Linked DNA regions of Astyanax mexicanus. The protein of the gene in region 1 interacts with the protein of each later gene in a pairwise test. Links are inferred from orthologs where the notes say so. Each region holds a gene or a part of one and is shown on either strand. Other genes may lie near its edges.

What was found.
Region 2: the proteins of tsc22d1 (region 1) and aplp1 interact in a two-hybrid assay, tested with the Homo sapiens proteins (2 studies listed by BioGRID and IntAct). The link is inferred for Astyanax mexicanus from reciprocal best matches to the Homo sapiens genes TSC22D1 and APLP1.

The regions. Positions count from the first base shown.
Region 1 is NC_064418.1:28,487,814-28,496,183, reverse strand, and holds the start of tsc22d1 (TSC22 domain family protein 1), read left to right. Parts: upstream 1-5,026; 5' UTR 5,027-5,899; coding exon 5,900-8,370. UniProt on the Homo sapiens protein: Transcriptional repressor. Acts on the C-type natriuretic peptide (CNP) promoter. Acts to promote CASP3-mediated apoptosis.
Region 2 is NC_064425.1:43,602,099-43,610,166, reverse strand, and holds the start of aplp1 (amyloid beta precursor like protein 1), read left to right. Parts: upstream 1-4,759; 5' UTR 4,760-4,939; coding exon 4,940-5,005; intron 5,006-8,068. UniProt on the Homo sapiens protein: May play a role in postsynaptic function. The C-terminal gamma-secretase processed fragment, ALID1, activates transcription activation through APBB1 (Fe65) binding. Couples to JIP signal transduction through C-terminal binding.

The DNA of each region.
Region 1 (8,370 bases):
CACTGCGATACTGAACTTATCTACTGACTTCTTTTGTGTTCCATCCTTACGCAACAACAAGAACACATTCAGTTGACAGGCCTGATACAAGACATGGTACATAAAGAAAGGCTTTCAGAGGCAGAGCCCATCCTTCATCACATCTTCATATGAAATCAAATCTCTGAAACAAGCACCTTAACGAAGATCAAGGTTATAACAATGACAGAGTGCTGAAATACTGTGAGCACAGTCCTTGCTGTCTTATTCAAGGACACCAAAATGAAATCAGCTGCATTGAAATTAACTACAACTGCTTACTCCACACTGACACTCATGTATTTCAGATAAAGCATAAGATAGACCTGGTTTCCATTACATAAAGTCTAAGAAAGACACACAGATAGATTGAAGCTTTATTATCACCCTCTTCAAATTTGTTTCACCAATAATTTGCACCAAAATTCCTCTCACAAAATGGCAAACACTTGCAAGACCACAACATCCGATCTGTGACTCTGCAACAGGTCCAAACAAAGTCTTAGAAATTAATGGTAAAGAAAAAAACTCAGTGACCTTTACACAGTGACAAAGCTGCAGTGACAAATAGAACCAGGTTAACATTCCCACAGGAGGACCTTAGATCTATGAGTTTCATTTATGAGAGACAATATAGCATGTGGCACAATAGAAACAAATGGAACAAGTGAAAAAAACAATCTCTCTTTCACCTTCTAGCAAAAACGTATTACAAGCGCCTTGGTGAAGGTTGTGAGATCATTTATTAGCTTTAAATCAGCTGTCACAACAAAAGCCAGCAGCAAACTCTTGTGAAAATAAATCAATCTTAGTTTGATAGATAGATATAACTGTCAAATAAAAAAAGCACTTTTGAAAGAAAGTTTAAAGTGGTTTATGTGTATAAAAACAATAATGGCTTAAGTATTAAGCCTTGAGGTACAACACTTGACAGATGTTTAAGTCAGTGTACTACTGGAAGAGAATTATCTATGGCATCAATAAAGTGTTTCAAATAATCTAAATCTTTATTCTTAATACTGGTTTCTGTAGTAAACACCATGAATGATAAATCAGGAACAGCAACAACAACAAATCTCAACATTAATTATATTTAGAGTCACATAAGCAATTCCTTCATAGAGAATACACATTAGTACTATTGTTATATATGTGCATTTAAAATAGCTTTTTAGAAATAACTACTGCAAACGGTCCCAATAGTGCATTTATGTTAGGATGCGTTTGTTATTTGATTAGCTAACGGACTCAAAAAAATTGTAGTTTATCGAAAGGGTTAAATGTGTTCTAGGCATGGCACACCACAATTCTGATGTATTATTAGTGAAATGTAGCTCTCTTTGTAGCGTTACGATGTTACCTTTACAGGAGTAATACTAAAATTATAAGGGTGTAAAATGTATCAAGCATTTTCTTACAATTTTTTTAATATGTTGGATATCTAAAGCTTATTTATTCATACATACATTAATGACTGAATCAACTGTAAAGGGCAAGGACAGGAAAAATATGACCAATCATAATCACAGGTACCATTTCATATCGCAGGCATTTGCACACAATAATTTACCAAATGAGCGGATGACTGGACTGGTCTGACAACACTATGAGTATCAGAAATTCCGACTTAAAGTTGGCTCACAAGTGGACACAATGCCCCAACTACAGGCTTGACATCTGTATTCAGAGACTTTAGGCTTTGCTTTGCTGCTCCTCTCTCTCCTGTAGGCTTTTGTTGTTTCAGGAATTTCACCTCGCTTCAGGACAACTGTGTCAATGCAGCAGCTTCATCTGCAGGCTTCACATATTTCAAAACCCATAAACATCTTTGAACATGTTTAAATGCTCTCATGACAGCAGCAGAGAAAAGCAATGAAAGCACAGCGTTTTGTTGTTCTGCTTTCAACTGAAGCCTTGGATTACATGCAAACAGTGACTCAACAGTGGGCCCTATTCTTTTATCTAATCATAAAGATATCATTTTAATAAATGTTTACAAACTAAAGCAGACAGCAGTGTTTAAATTGACCATAATTGTTCAGGAGGACAATAGCTCTCTGTGTTTTTTGTTGTGGAGTGCCAGTGTGATTTAAAGCTGCTGACAGCACCAGACGCTTACATTGCAATCAGCTCTCGCTGGCTCTCTCCCTCCGACATTTGTATGGATGGGTACAAGCCTGTCTGCCTGGGCTGAATATTGCCTGCCAGTGACAAAGGGCACACATTCATTTCGGAAGGGCATCTTATATCGTTTCCCAACAGTTATTGTTCCGGATTACAATCATATCAACCTCACTTTCATTCAGGTTTGTTGACGAGTCCAAAGAGAAGGGATATCTATCAACTGTAGGTCACATCAGCTTTTTGTCCAATGAAGTACCGCATGCAGTTATTTTTGCATTACAGGGGTACACATTTGTATTTCATTGAATAAGTCCTGGATCTAAAAGCTTCTGAACCTCTGACAAAGCAGCTGTTTTAATGAGACACTGTTATATGCCTAAAATCTGAATTTAGTCTCTGAAAAGAAGGTCATTCAGGTAAGTATGTGCATACAATGAATATATGTTAACATGTTATCTCAAATTAGTACTTAGTAGTACCTCACCTCATATGACATAAAAATTACCAAATTGATTTCCCCACTAAAAAATATGTTCTTTCATTATTGGCTATCTATTACACTACTAGAATCAATTATCAAAAGCACTACAAACAACTCAACTAACAACAGACTAAACTATGCTACCCCTACCTCAACTTTTGTGCTTTTTGTTTTACTAGCAATTACACACTACACACCACATCTGACAAAAAAGAACTCTAGAAAAGTTCCAGCTAACTACAGACCTATTTTACACATTAACATCAGAGAGACAGTATGGAACAGGTCTTGTAAATGTCCAAAGAATGTACTGTTATAAAGTCCCAACCCCTTTAAGCAATGTTTGAATATTTCTTAATCCATAAGAGTGTAAAGGTGCCAGTGCAATCCCACCAAAGCTATGTATTTTTCTAAGTTTCATAATGAAAAAGGAATATGTGGAATACATTCATAAATACATTTGAAAATGGACACAACATTTATGTTTTTGTTAATATTCTGCAACTATTTAAAATAAATGTCATAGTATAAACTATATTATACAATAATATAATAATATTAAATCATTTTAAATTAGTTTTCATATATATATATGTGTTTATCATATATATAACCATATGTTTATCATGTTGCGCAGCCCCTTCCCCTTAAGTCATATTTTAAAACCCTTAACACATTAAACTACTGAGCCTAGAACTTTAGCTCCTACTCTAAACAGAGAGGACCAACCATCAGTGTGTGCAATGGCTGTGCAGTGAACACATGTGTTTGGTTGTTCTCTTCTGTCTGTGGAAAAATCTGGCACCTCTTTCAATGTAGCTAGTTGTTTTGTGAAAACAGGACACATTTCTGGACCATGTTAGTTAGCCACCAAGCTTGTTTCCCCCCATACAGTCTGTTTACACTTTGTTAAGCTGCTGACCCAGACAGAAGTCAACAAACTATCCTAGGTGGGTCTATTCAAGCTAAATAGCTAGCTAGCTATGCCATATAGCCCTGATAATGTATAACAGATAACTCAAAGTACCACCTTCAAGTCATCCACAGGAACATACACATGCAAACTAGGGGTGTATGATTTGGACTAATAATGCAATGTGTAATAAATATGTTGGATATCCTGAAGTTAATTTGATGTGAAACACAACAAATTAATGCTACAAAGTCCAATAAAAATGCTGTAAAATGAATTTCATTCTCATGACTTTTCATTTGGAGAAAAGTATGCTCATTTTAGAGTATACTCATATAATGTTTTTACTCAACAGTGACAACATGTTATTGTCTCCAATTAAACCAGGCAGATTCTTAAGACCCAGATATTTGGACATCCCCTGGTACCCACATGCATTTGCTTAAATATTTTTTTCAATCATCCATAATGTCAAATGTGAGCCATAATGAGTTTAAAACTGAGCTTGGTCTGCGAGCTAGCTTAACTGATTATTTAATTAGCAAGATACAGCTCTGGAAAAAAATAAGAGACCACTTACAAATTAGACACTTCTTTGATTTTACCAAATTGAAAACCTCTGGAATATAATCAAGAGGAAGATGGATGATCACAAGCCATCAAACCAAACTGAACTGCTTGAATTTTATCAGTTTTATCCAAAAGCAGTGTGCAAGAATGGTGGAGCAGAACATGCCAAGATGCAGGAAAACTGTAATTAAAATCAGGGTTATTCCAGCAACTATTGATTTCTGAAGTTTTTATGAAAACTTTATGAATATGAACTTGTTTTCTTTTCATTATTTAAGGTCTGAAAGCTCTGTTTCTTTTTTTTTTGTTGTTATTTTAGCCATTTATCGTTTTCCGCAAATAAATGCTCTAAATGACAATATTTTTATTTGGAATTTGGGGGAAATGTTGTCCGTAGTTTATAGAATAAAACAGCAATATTTATTTTACTGACACATATGCATATGAATATATACAAAATCAAAGAAACTTAAGTGGGCTTTTCAGAGCTGTATCTTTCTATCCAACTTAGCTATCTAGCTAGCATCACCCGGGCCAAAAGGACATAAGCGACATGAGGACAACGCCCACTGACAACCTCAGGGGTCCAGTGGAGATAAAGCCCCCCTCCTCCGGTTCTCTCACGTAGTAAGCTAAAGCTTTCTCTCTTTCTCCGCTGCTGGGGTGTCTCACAACCCCTCTGAAACACTTAAAAGCAGAAGTATTTTATATTATATTATATTAGACACTTAGAGCCATAGAGACAGCGGTTACAGTACGGTCAAGTCTTTTTTCAGCTGATAAATAACTAGCTAGCAAGCTATTTTGCAGATCTCTCCAACAGACCACCCCGCTCTCACCCTCTCCTGACTCTTCCCTTGTTTCTATGCTCATTTTTTTTCTAGGCTCACCCCTCCCTCCTCTTTCCTCCCTCCGCCTTTCCCTCAGACTGGCTTTATGTCTGGCTGTTGGCGGCGTAAACAGACATGCGCTGTCGCCATGTTATCAGCAGCTTCTCCTCCCCCTTTCGGTCTCGTCACAGGCAGATAGCTGGCTAGCAATAGCACAGGCTACATTACAAGGAGACAGAGAGAGAGCTGAAGAGAGACAGAGAGCTGTTGGGAAAGAAGATACTAGCTTACTATTTAGCTACTGGTGCAGCTAGCTAGCTAACACTGGATTATAACAAAGAGGACGGGGACATGGAATAAACACGGACTCCGGTAACGGTACTCGTTTTGGATACAGCCTGCCAGCTTGACAACGTCGGTGGATTGTATGGTTTTACGCCTGCTGTAACGCCGGATTCAAAATGCGAATCACAATCTAGTAGCTGTAACTGTACTACATGCACTTGTAGCCAGCCACCGCTGTTGGATATTGAAAACGTTAGGTTAGCTAACTCAGCTGTGTTCAGTTTGTTTGATAATAAATTTCTGTATTTGCTAGCTGTTTGGATAATATGAACTGTTAGTTAGCTAACTAAATTTGGTCATATCTGACAACGTTCTGGATCTGAAACGTCTTCGACAGTTAAATAGCTAAGATAAGCTAGTTATGTTAGCTTGCTAACTAACTGAGTGTAAACCAGTGTTTCTAAGCTGAGAGCACTAACGCTAGCTAGCATTAAACGACGACTGTTTTTAACTTAGCTAACGTTAGCTAGCTAAGCTAGCCATAAGCTAGCATTCAGTTTAGCCAGGTTAGCTAGCTAGTTATCTAGCGCGTAGCCTGGCCGGGACATTGTTTAAATACCTTGAACAAAAGTGGAATTATCGACTCCTGGCTGTTTTTGGAAAGGGGCCATTAGTTTTATGTGGAAACTACTTGGGCGAGGTGAAATTCCTACTGAAAAAGACCTTGTCAACACGGCAGTTCTTGTAAGCTGTATTTACAACTCTGCCGGAGACCACCCCCTAGAAATGCATCACCCCGACCCAGCAGGAGACTCGACGAGCGCCCGAAAAATGGCGCAACCGGCGACTTTTGCCCGACGGGCTGCCGGTAACACCGCTAGTGCTTCTCCCTCCGCGTTGACATCTTCGGGAAGTGCCAGCCTTAGCAACAACCTGATGCCGGCAGACGATTACAAGCCCTCCGCGCTAATCCAGCCGCTGGCCTCAGCCGCGGCCACGCTCGGCTCCCAGCTCCCTCCTCAAAGCCTCAGCATCCACCCCCAGCCCACGCTGCTGCCCCAGAACCTGCCCGTGGCCCCGGGGGCACAGATTAAAAAGAAAAGTGGCTTTCAGATCACCAGCGTCACCCCTGCCCAGATCTCCGTCAGCACAAACAACAGCATAACTGAGGACACTGAAAGTTGTGATGATCTGGATGAGTCCCACACAGAGGACCTCTCCTCTTCTGAGATCCTGGATGTGTCCTTGTCACGGACCAATGACACCGGTGGACCTGAGAGGAGCTCATCTGAAGAAACCCTCAACAACTTTCACGAGGCAGAAACCCCGGGGGCTGTATCTCCAAATCAGCCACCTATTCTGTCCCAGACGCACCACGGCGGCACACACACTATGGTCAATGGTGCTGTTAACCACCACCATCATCATCATCATCAAAATAATAATCATCATCATGTTCAGCAGCAGCAACAGCAGCACCACCACCACAATGCGGGGCACCCCCAGCCCCACCACCATCAGTTTCACCCTACGCATTCTGGAAATACTCATTCCACTTCTTCTGCAGGATCAGGCGCTACTCAAGCTGCTGGCATCCCACTCGGTAGTGTGGTGACCTCCACCATCACAACAAGCCCTGAATCTGTACCAATCATAGGCCAGAAAATGCCTTCGAATGTGGGTGGAATTCTGGAAAACGCCTCTGTTGCCACCACCAATGTCATTAGTCAGCCCTTGGTTGCTGGTGCACCAGGAACATCTACTGGCATAGTCACTGCGGCATCAGGTGCTACGATAAGTATTAAGCGTTTACCAAGCAATGCAAGTAATGTTAATATATTAAACTCCAATGTGCCTGCTTTGGGTGGCATAAGTACAAACAGTAGCAGTGTAGTTTTTTCCTCTGGCTTGAATAATACCAACAACCAAAACGTAAACCTAATGCAGCAGCAGAGTGGTGTAGTAAGTAATGTCATCACAATGACAACTGGCACCACTGCCACTGCTGTTACTGGGTCAACAAGTGGTAGTCATGTGGGGACAGCTGACGCTACCCAGCCTTCAAATGCTATCCTTGGCTCTAACACTCATTCTCAGCAGGCACAAATGCCTCCTCCTGCTACTACCAGCTCACGCTTCAGAGTGGTCAAATTGGACTCTAGTTCCGAGCCGTTTAAGAAAGGCCGATGGACATGCACAGAGTTTTATGACAAAGAGGCTCCAGGTTCTGGGTCCTCTGAAAATGCACCTAGCACCCGAACAGTAGAGAGCATCCGCCAGTTTGTACCTGATAACGTGTTGGGCTCAGAAAGAGACAGTGTGAGCTCTGTCAGCAGCTCAGTCAGCACTCTAAGTCACTACTCTGAGAGTGTGAGCAGTGGTGATATCGGAGGCTCCTCAGCTGTGCAGCAGATCTTTCCACAGCCACCCACTACTGCTAACATTTCCAAACCTCAGATGCCTCGCCAGGACATGGTGCATCCCCATCTAAAGGCTGGTGCAACCACCCCACTGCCAGCCTGCACTCAGCAGCAACAAAATGCGGTAAATATGGTAGGCTTGCAGACGGCCACTGGGCATCCATCACCGGCCGTGGCCCCACAGCAGATGACATATGCCCAAGCAGCACAGCTAACTCCAGCTCAGGGCCTCTCAGGAGTCACCCCACAGCAGATGGCCTACCCGCCTGCACAGCAGCCAGCGGCACCAGCCCAGGTAGCCCCAGCACACGTCAACCCTTTAAGCCAAGGGGGCAGCCTGCCACCTGACTTCACTCAGCAGCAGCCGCCTCAGGAGATCATCCAGGCTGCAGCTCCGGGATCAGCGCAAGCCCTTCCCCACCTGTCCAGCTCCATCCCCCCTGTCACCGTGGCAGGCAGTGCTCAGATGATGCCGGGTTCACAGCCACCTGTGGGCACTGTGCCCACTGCTGTAGCTCAGTCGCTTTCTCAAGGACTGATGCAACCACAACAGACTCCCTCACCCCAGATGGCCCAGGCCCCCACCGGTGGGGTCATGCCACAGCTAGTGCAGTCTACAGGGCCTGGAGTAATCCAGCAGCCCCAAGGACCACAGCTTTCCTCTCAGCTCTCCATGGAGCAACATGCGCCCCTCAGCAATCAGGCATTAGGAGCCCAGTTTGTCCCTTC
Region 2 (8,068 bases), on another chromosome or scaffold:
GTCACTGCAGCGAATCACTTCCTCACTGCTAGCAGCGTCACGCGCACAGGTAGAAAGAGAGAGAGAGAGAGAGAGAGAGAGAGAGAGAGAGAGAGAGAGAGAGAGAGAGAGAGAGAGAGAGAGAGAGACAGAGAGACAGAGAGAGAGAGAGAGAGAGAGAGAGAGTGAATAAGCGCACGTCAGGATGCTCTGCTTAGTGATGGGTCTAATGACCCTGAAACCTCGACACATGCGCCGAGCTGTCAAGGCGAAACCCCGTGTCGGTGCGCGTATCAAGTTAAGGAAAACCACGTGACCGATACACTTCCTGTATCGTTTGGTAGCGATGGGTCTGACGACACTGGAACCTCAGCGCATGCACCGAGCAAACAAGGCGATCCCCTGTGTCAGACCGCGTATCCACAGTGGAAGAACACCAGTCAAAAGTTTGGACACACCTTCATATTCACAAATTCAGATTTTTTTTTTTTTTCTTAAATTATTTTAAAATTTTCTGCATTGTCGATTAATACCACAATCATCCAAACTATGAAAAAAAAAAGAAAAATCAGAATATATCTTTAAATATTTTAAGAACTTTGAAATTATCGTATGCACCTTATTTTTCGGACTTTAATCTACAGTGCTCCTTATGTATAAATTCTACCAGTCAGGTATTAAGGAGCAGTAAAACCACTCTGCTGAAGTGCAGAGTTTTCAGTGAAGTTTCTCCAGCACTAAGGCTGGGAGCAGCAGCATTAGCATTAGCATAAGCCGCTAATCACAACGCTAGCTCTTTAGACTGTAGTCTGCATGTTTGCCGTGTTAAAACAAGCTAATATGTGGTACGAACCACTAGCTGATAGCACCCTGGGTTACCAGAACACTCAGGGTTTCTCAGTGTAGCACTGTATGGCGGCATTTACTGCCGCTAACCAATGCTAACTGCGGTGTAAAACATTAGAATTCTAAGCTTACTATAAATAAATGGAAGCATTTACTCACCAAAATAAAGTTTTCAATAAAGAAATCTGTGTAGATTACTGTGCAACAGCCTTGTTTCTTACTAGTGGTACCGTAAAATACGGTATCCTTAGGTGCAATTGCAAGAACCATCAAAAAACGCTATGATGGAACTGGCTCTCATCAGGGCTGCCAGTACTGTACCAGTGCTGTGCAAATATTCTGAGCATTAATGTTAATCAGTGTATTGTTGCCCTATAGAACTCTATAGTAAGTTATAGTAACCCTATCTCTGAGTGTAATTTAAATCAGCAGCACACTAAATACTGTGATGGAAATTAAAAATCCTAATTCTATATATTACTGGTGTTTTCTTTTTGTTCCAGATTAATACATTTGACTGATGTGTTTAAACTTGCTAGCTAGTTTAACCTCCTTTTTTTTCCAAAAAAAAAAAAACGAATAAACTCTATATCAAAATCTATAGAATAGAAGATCATCTCATTTGTTTGATCATGTTTTGTATGATTTAGCAGAAATACAGTATAATCAGAAATAGGACCTGTACAGAAACAGCAGTTTATTACAGGTTCTGGGTTTTACTGGGTTATACTGGGTCTACCAGGCCCAGATTACGTCAGCAGGAGAGTCCTTTCTCATAAATGAATAAATGAATATCAGATTACAGTATTATATAAAATTATATCATAATTCCATCTTTAGTTGACCCACATTTTTACCTGCCTGTACTGCCCCCTAGTGTCTCACAGCCAGCATTACTAATCCGCACTAAACTGCAGTACAGATTTACACTGAGCCCTGCTGCACAACCATCATCATCATCATCATCTTCATTACTCTTATTATCATCATCATCATCATCATCATCATCATCATTACTCTTATTATCATCATCATCATCATCATCATCATCATCATTACTCTTATCATCATCATCATCATCATCATCATCATCATCATTACTCTTATTATCATCATCATCATCATCATCATCATCATTACTCTTATTATCATCATCATCATCATCATCATCATCATCATTACTCTTATCATCATCATCATCATCATCATCATCATCTTCATTACTCTTATCATCATCTTCATCATCATCATCTTCATTACTCTTATCATCATCTTCATCATCATCATCATCATCATCATCTTCATTACTCTTATCATCATCATCATCATCATCTTCATTACTCTTATCATCATCTTCATCATCATCATCATCACCATCATTATCTTCATCATCATCATCATCATCCTCATCATCATCATTACTCTTATTATCATCATCATCATCATCATTACTCTTATCATCATCATCATCATCATCATCATCATTACTCTTATCATCATCATCATCATCATCATCATTACTCTTATCATCATCATCATCATCATCATCATCATTACTCTTATCATCATCATCATCATCATCATCATCATCATCATCTCCATTACTCTTATCATCATCATCATCATCATCATCATCATCATCATCATCATCATCATCATTACTCTTATCATCATCATCATCATCATCATCATCATCATCATCTTCATTACTCTTATCACCATCTTCATCATTATCATCATTATTCTTATCATCATCTTCATCATCCTCATTATCATCATCATTAGTCTTATTATCATCATCCTCATCATCATTACTCGTATCATCATCATCACCATCATCATCTTCATCATCATCATCCCTATAGTAATTTAAAAGTTAAATTCTCAAAAAATGTAATTAAATAAAATCATATAATATAATAATAGTTATATAATATTATATGATTATATTATAATCATACAATAGTCATCATCATCATCATCTTCTTCTTCATCATCCTCATTATCATTATTATCATTAGTTAATATATAAGTTAAATTCTCAAATTTTATATAAATATAATAATCTAAAAATAATTATCGTACTTTGGGATAATACAGTAAAAGTTGTTTATTAATCCTGACTGGTAATCCTAGAATAATGAATAATTGTGATTAATAAATGAGTGTGATTAATAAATGAGTGTGATTAATAAATGAGTGTGATTAATGAATGACTCTTGCAGTGTGTTTTGAGTGAGGTCAGGTCAGTGCTGTTTGAATATGGTTTGTATTACAGAGTTCAGTTCAGTGTTTTATACAGTATATAATGCTGCTCTGTTTAAACGATGATCAGTACCCTGACTGTTTTGTGTTATACACCTTATTGTCCACTGGGTGGCGCACTGAGGTAATACATGGCTCTGCACCTCTCTGCGCAGGCGCTGTGCATTCCCTACCCGTATTCCGACAAGGCCCACCCGCCTGCGCTGTGATTGGCTTGCAGTGTGCCGCGGCCTGCACTGTGATTGGCTGGAACTTCATAGAGTAATAATAATGATGTTTTAAACATTTCCTTTGTATTAAAATTCACACAGTCATTTAGTGTTTTGAATAATGAGGTGATCTAGATTATGAAGGAACACATAAGGAATTATGTAGTAACTTAAAATTACTGTTAAACAAACTAAAATACTCTGGTAACTCTGATGAACTTATCCTGTACAACAGAGGAAGCTCTTGCTCTTCCTTTCCTGAGGCGGTCCTGATAAGAGCCAGTTTCATCATAACATTTTTTATAGTCTTTGCAGTGACTGCACTTTTAAAGTTCTTAAAATGTTTCGGATTGACTGACCTTCATTTCTTAAAGTCATTTTTTACTTTTCTTTATTTAGTTGAGTAGTTCTTGCTTCTCATAATCTGGATTCGAACATTACTCAAATATTCACTATTCACTGTATACCTGTAACTCTACCTCTTCACTACTTTACTTTAACTGATGCTCTCAAACACTTTATTAAGAGACAAGAAATTCAAGTAATTAACTCTTGATGAGTTCAGCACAGCTGTTAACTGAAAGCCTGAAATTCCAGGTGCTACTTTGAAGAATGTAAAATATAAAACATATTCTGGTTTGTTTAACACTTTTTGTTAACTAAATAGTTCCATATGTTTTTAATTAGTAAATATTATTTTCCATCCATAGATGGGTTGCCAGATTGACACACAGTAACCAGCAACAACAATCTTACTATGCAAGCTGATCAGTGAATGTATATGTTTGCAATGTTTTTATTGGTTGCACATTTTAAAACAACTCATGCTGATATTATATAACATATATTAAGTTTCTTCTCAATATAGGATAGAACTTCAATTTTAAAACATTTAATTTATTTAAGAATAAGAAATCAGGAACATATCATACATATACATATATATGTACAGCTCTGGGGAAAAAAAAGGAAGATGGATGATCACAAGCCATCAAACCAAACTGAAGTAAAGCAGCATAAAGGTATCCAAAAGCAGTGTGTAAGACTGGTGGAGGAGAACATGATGCCAAGATGCATGAAAAAAACTGTGATTAAAAATCAGGGTTGTTTTCTTTGCAATATTTGAGGTCTGAAAGCTCTGCATTTGTTTTTGTTATTTTAGCCATTTCTCATTCAATATATTTATTTGGAATTTGGGAGAAATGCTGTCTGTAGTTTATAGAATAAAACAACAATATTCATTTTACTCAAACATAAACCTATAAATAGCAAAATCAGAGAAACTGATTCAGAAACTGACAATGATGGGAGAAGAATTGAGCTGGAGGGTGTGGCCTGACTGAAAACGGGTGGGAAAAGAAAAGGAACGAGGCGTGCTGAGCGAGAGAGAGAGAGAGAGAGAGAGAGAGAGAGGGAGAGAGAGAGAGAGAGAGAGAGAGAGAGAGAGAGAGAGAGAGAGCTTGGAGGCAGGCACCGAGCAGACAGACACGAAGCAGCAGCAGCAGCAGCAGCTCAGATTAATGCGCAGCAGATCCTCCAGCACAGCTTCAGCTTCAGCTCCAGCACTCCACTAAACACCAGAGAGAACAGGAGGAAGATCAGGAGGAAGAGACAGACAGACAGACAGACAGACAGACAGGATGGGACATAAAGACGCCTTCATATTACTGACTCTACTGTCCTGCTGCGCGTGGAGAGATGCTGAGGTAAGATAACAGGGTGGATCTTCAGTAAATGAGGGGCTGCAGGGGGTTTAATCAGCAGCTGCAGTCCGAGGAGGATGGAAAATCTGCGTGTGTGTGCGTGTGTGTGTGTGTGTGTGTGTGTGTGTGTGTGTGTGTGTGTGTGATGGATTGGAAAAAGGGTAAACACCATCATTGTGTCCAGTGAGGGCAGTGAGAGGATGGACATGATTAGAGAGGCAGTGAAAAATAAAGAGAGAGAGAGATAGAGCGATGGAAAAAGAGAAGGATGAGAGATTAATAGAGTGGGAAAAAAAGAAAGACAATCTAGAGAGAGACAATGAGAGAGAAATATAATTAGGCCTTCACAGGTATATATATATATATATATATATATATATATAGAGAGAGAGAGAGAGACATTTAGAGGTAATGGGGGAGGGAGAGAGACATATGGACATACACATGCATTTATAGAGAGAGAGAGAGAGATACATTTGGGGAGACAGAGAGAGATATAGGGACATACAGTGACATTTACAGAAAGAGAGAGAGAGAGAGAGAGAGAGAGAGAGAGACATTTACAAAGGGAGAGAGACATGGGGACACACAGAGACATTTACGGAGAGAGGTATAGATACATATGGAGAGGGAGGGGGTAGGAAGAGAGACATAGGGACATACAGAGACATTTACAGACAGAGAGATACAGATATATTTAGACAGGGAGAGGGGTAGGGAGAGACGTGACACATAGAGACCTAGGGACATACAGAGTAATTTAAAAAGAAATGAAAGAGAGAGAGAGATTGGCATACAGTGACATTTAAAGAGAGGAAGATAAAGAGATACAGCGACATTTAGAAAGAGAGAGGGGAAGAGAGAGAGACAGGGACATACAGAGACATTTGGAGAGATAGAGACAGAGAGAGCTATAGAGACATTTAGAGAAAGATGGGAGAGAGAGAGAGATTGACATACAGTGATATTTAGATAGAGGGACGTAGGGAGAGAGACCCATAACTCTATATTGGACATATAGAGTTATTTATCGAGAGAGACAGGGACATACAGAGACATTGGGGGGGTATATGGACATGCATCTATAAGAGAGAACGAGAGACATTTAAAGATCTATAATATATACATACAAAGAGCAGAAGCGAGATAAAGAGACAAATATGGACATACTATATAGAGGGTATATATGTGTGTATATATATATACATAGAGACATTAAGAAAGAGAGAGAGACAGGTAGGGAGAGAGGCATAGAAACATACCCAGACATTAAGAAAGAGACAGACAGAGAGAGAGAGAGACAGTCTGATAGAGAGAGAGAGAGAGAGAGAGAGAGAGACATAAGGACATACAGAGACATTAAAAAAGATAGATAGAGACAATCTAATGAATTTTATAGGGCGGGGCATTATGGTCTGGTTTCTGCAGAATAAAATTAGTATATTTTTATTATGAATTAAGCAGAGATGTTTTATAATTGGAGATCAGAGCTGTATGTGTTTTATATGATGGCTGGTGTGTGTTTGTGTACGCAGTGTGTGTGTGTGTGTGTGTTTGTGGTGTGTGTGTTGGTGCTGATCTGCACTGTGGCCTGTAGGGCAGGTTTATGGCCTTTGTGTGTGTGTGTGTGTGTGTGTGTGTGTGTGTGCGCTGGAGCTGCAGCTCTTTAAAAAAACACGCAGTGTGTCCGTGTCCCACAGTAATCCCTCGTCCTCGCCACGTAAAAAGCGTGGGCTGAGGTTTCAGCTCTCCTCTTTACTGCATGCTGGAGTGTGTGTGTGTGTGTGTGTGTGTGTGTGTGTGTGTGTGTGCGGTTTGCAGTGTGTGTGGAGCGATGACTGTGGCGTTTGTTATTGCACCAACGATGGATGCTCTGCAGCGATGCTGACAAAGCCTGTAGCACCCAGAGGGCCAGGTTTCTTCTTCTTCCACACACACATACACACACACACACACACACACACAGGCTGAGTGTGGCTACATTGGGTTTTCTACAATGCAGAGGCCAGAATGATGAAGCAAAACAGGGGGGACCTGATAATAGAGGTGGAATTATGGCGTGATGCTGTAAAATATTCAGATTTTAGAGGTTACACAATAATTTTGCTCTTTAAAGGCTTTGATATGTAAAAAAAGCAGCTTAATAATTGATAAAATGCTGAAAATAAGATGTTTCTGGTGGATTTACATGAATTTTGTGGTGAATTCAAGTATTTGCATCACCGAACACTAATAATTCAGTTTGAATATGGTCACATCAATGTGTTTTTAAAGGGAAAAACTAAATTTACATGCTTTAATAGAAAACTATCATATTTTTCAGACTACAAATTACACCAGGCTATAAGGCACAATTTAAGCAACACTATTTAGGATGCCTGCATTGAAGTGAGCAATGGTGTCGCCATGTTTCTCTTCTAATAAGGAAGCTGAGGGATGCGCCTAAATCAACAAAACTGTAATTTTTTAAAAGAACAAATTACTTTCAAAGTCAAACGAGTGCTGGATGTTTTTTTCTCCTGAAAACTGTTTATTTGGGGAGCAAAGCTCATCCTTTTATTACTGTAAATAGCTTGGATTTCCAATATTTTGTCTAAAAATGAGTTTTCAGTGAAGTTTCTCCAGCACTAAGGCTGGGTGCAGCAGCAATAGCATTAGCATTAGCTGCTAACCGCAGTGCTAAACTGAGGAACCCTGAGTTTAGAGAGGGAGATGGGTAAAGAGAGAGAGACATAGGGACATACAGAGACATTTAGAGAGAGAGAGAGAGAGATACATTTGCAAAGGGAGAGAGACATAGGGACATACAGAGACATTTACAGACAGAGAGATACAGATATATTTAGAGAGGGAGATGGGTAGGGAGAGAGACATAGGGACATACAGAGACATGTAGACAGGGAGAGAGACATTGGGACATACAAAGTCATCCTTTTACTACTGTAAATAGCTTGGATTTCCAATACTTTGTCTAAAAATGAGTTTTAAGTGAAGTTTCTTCAGCACTAAGGCTGGGTGCAGCAGCATTAGCATTAGCATTAGCCGCCAACCGCAGTCCTACACTGA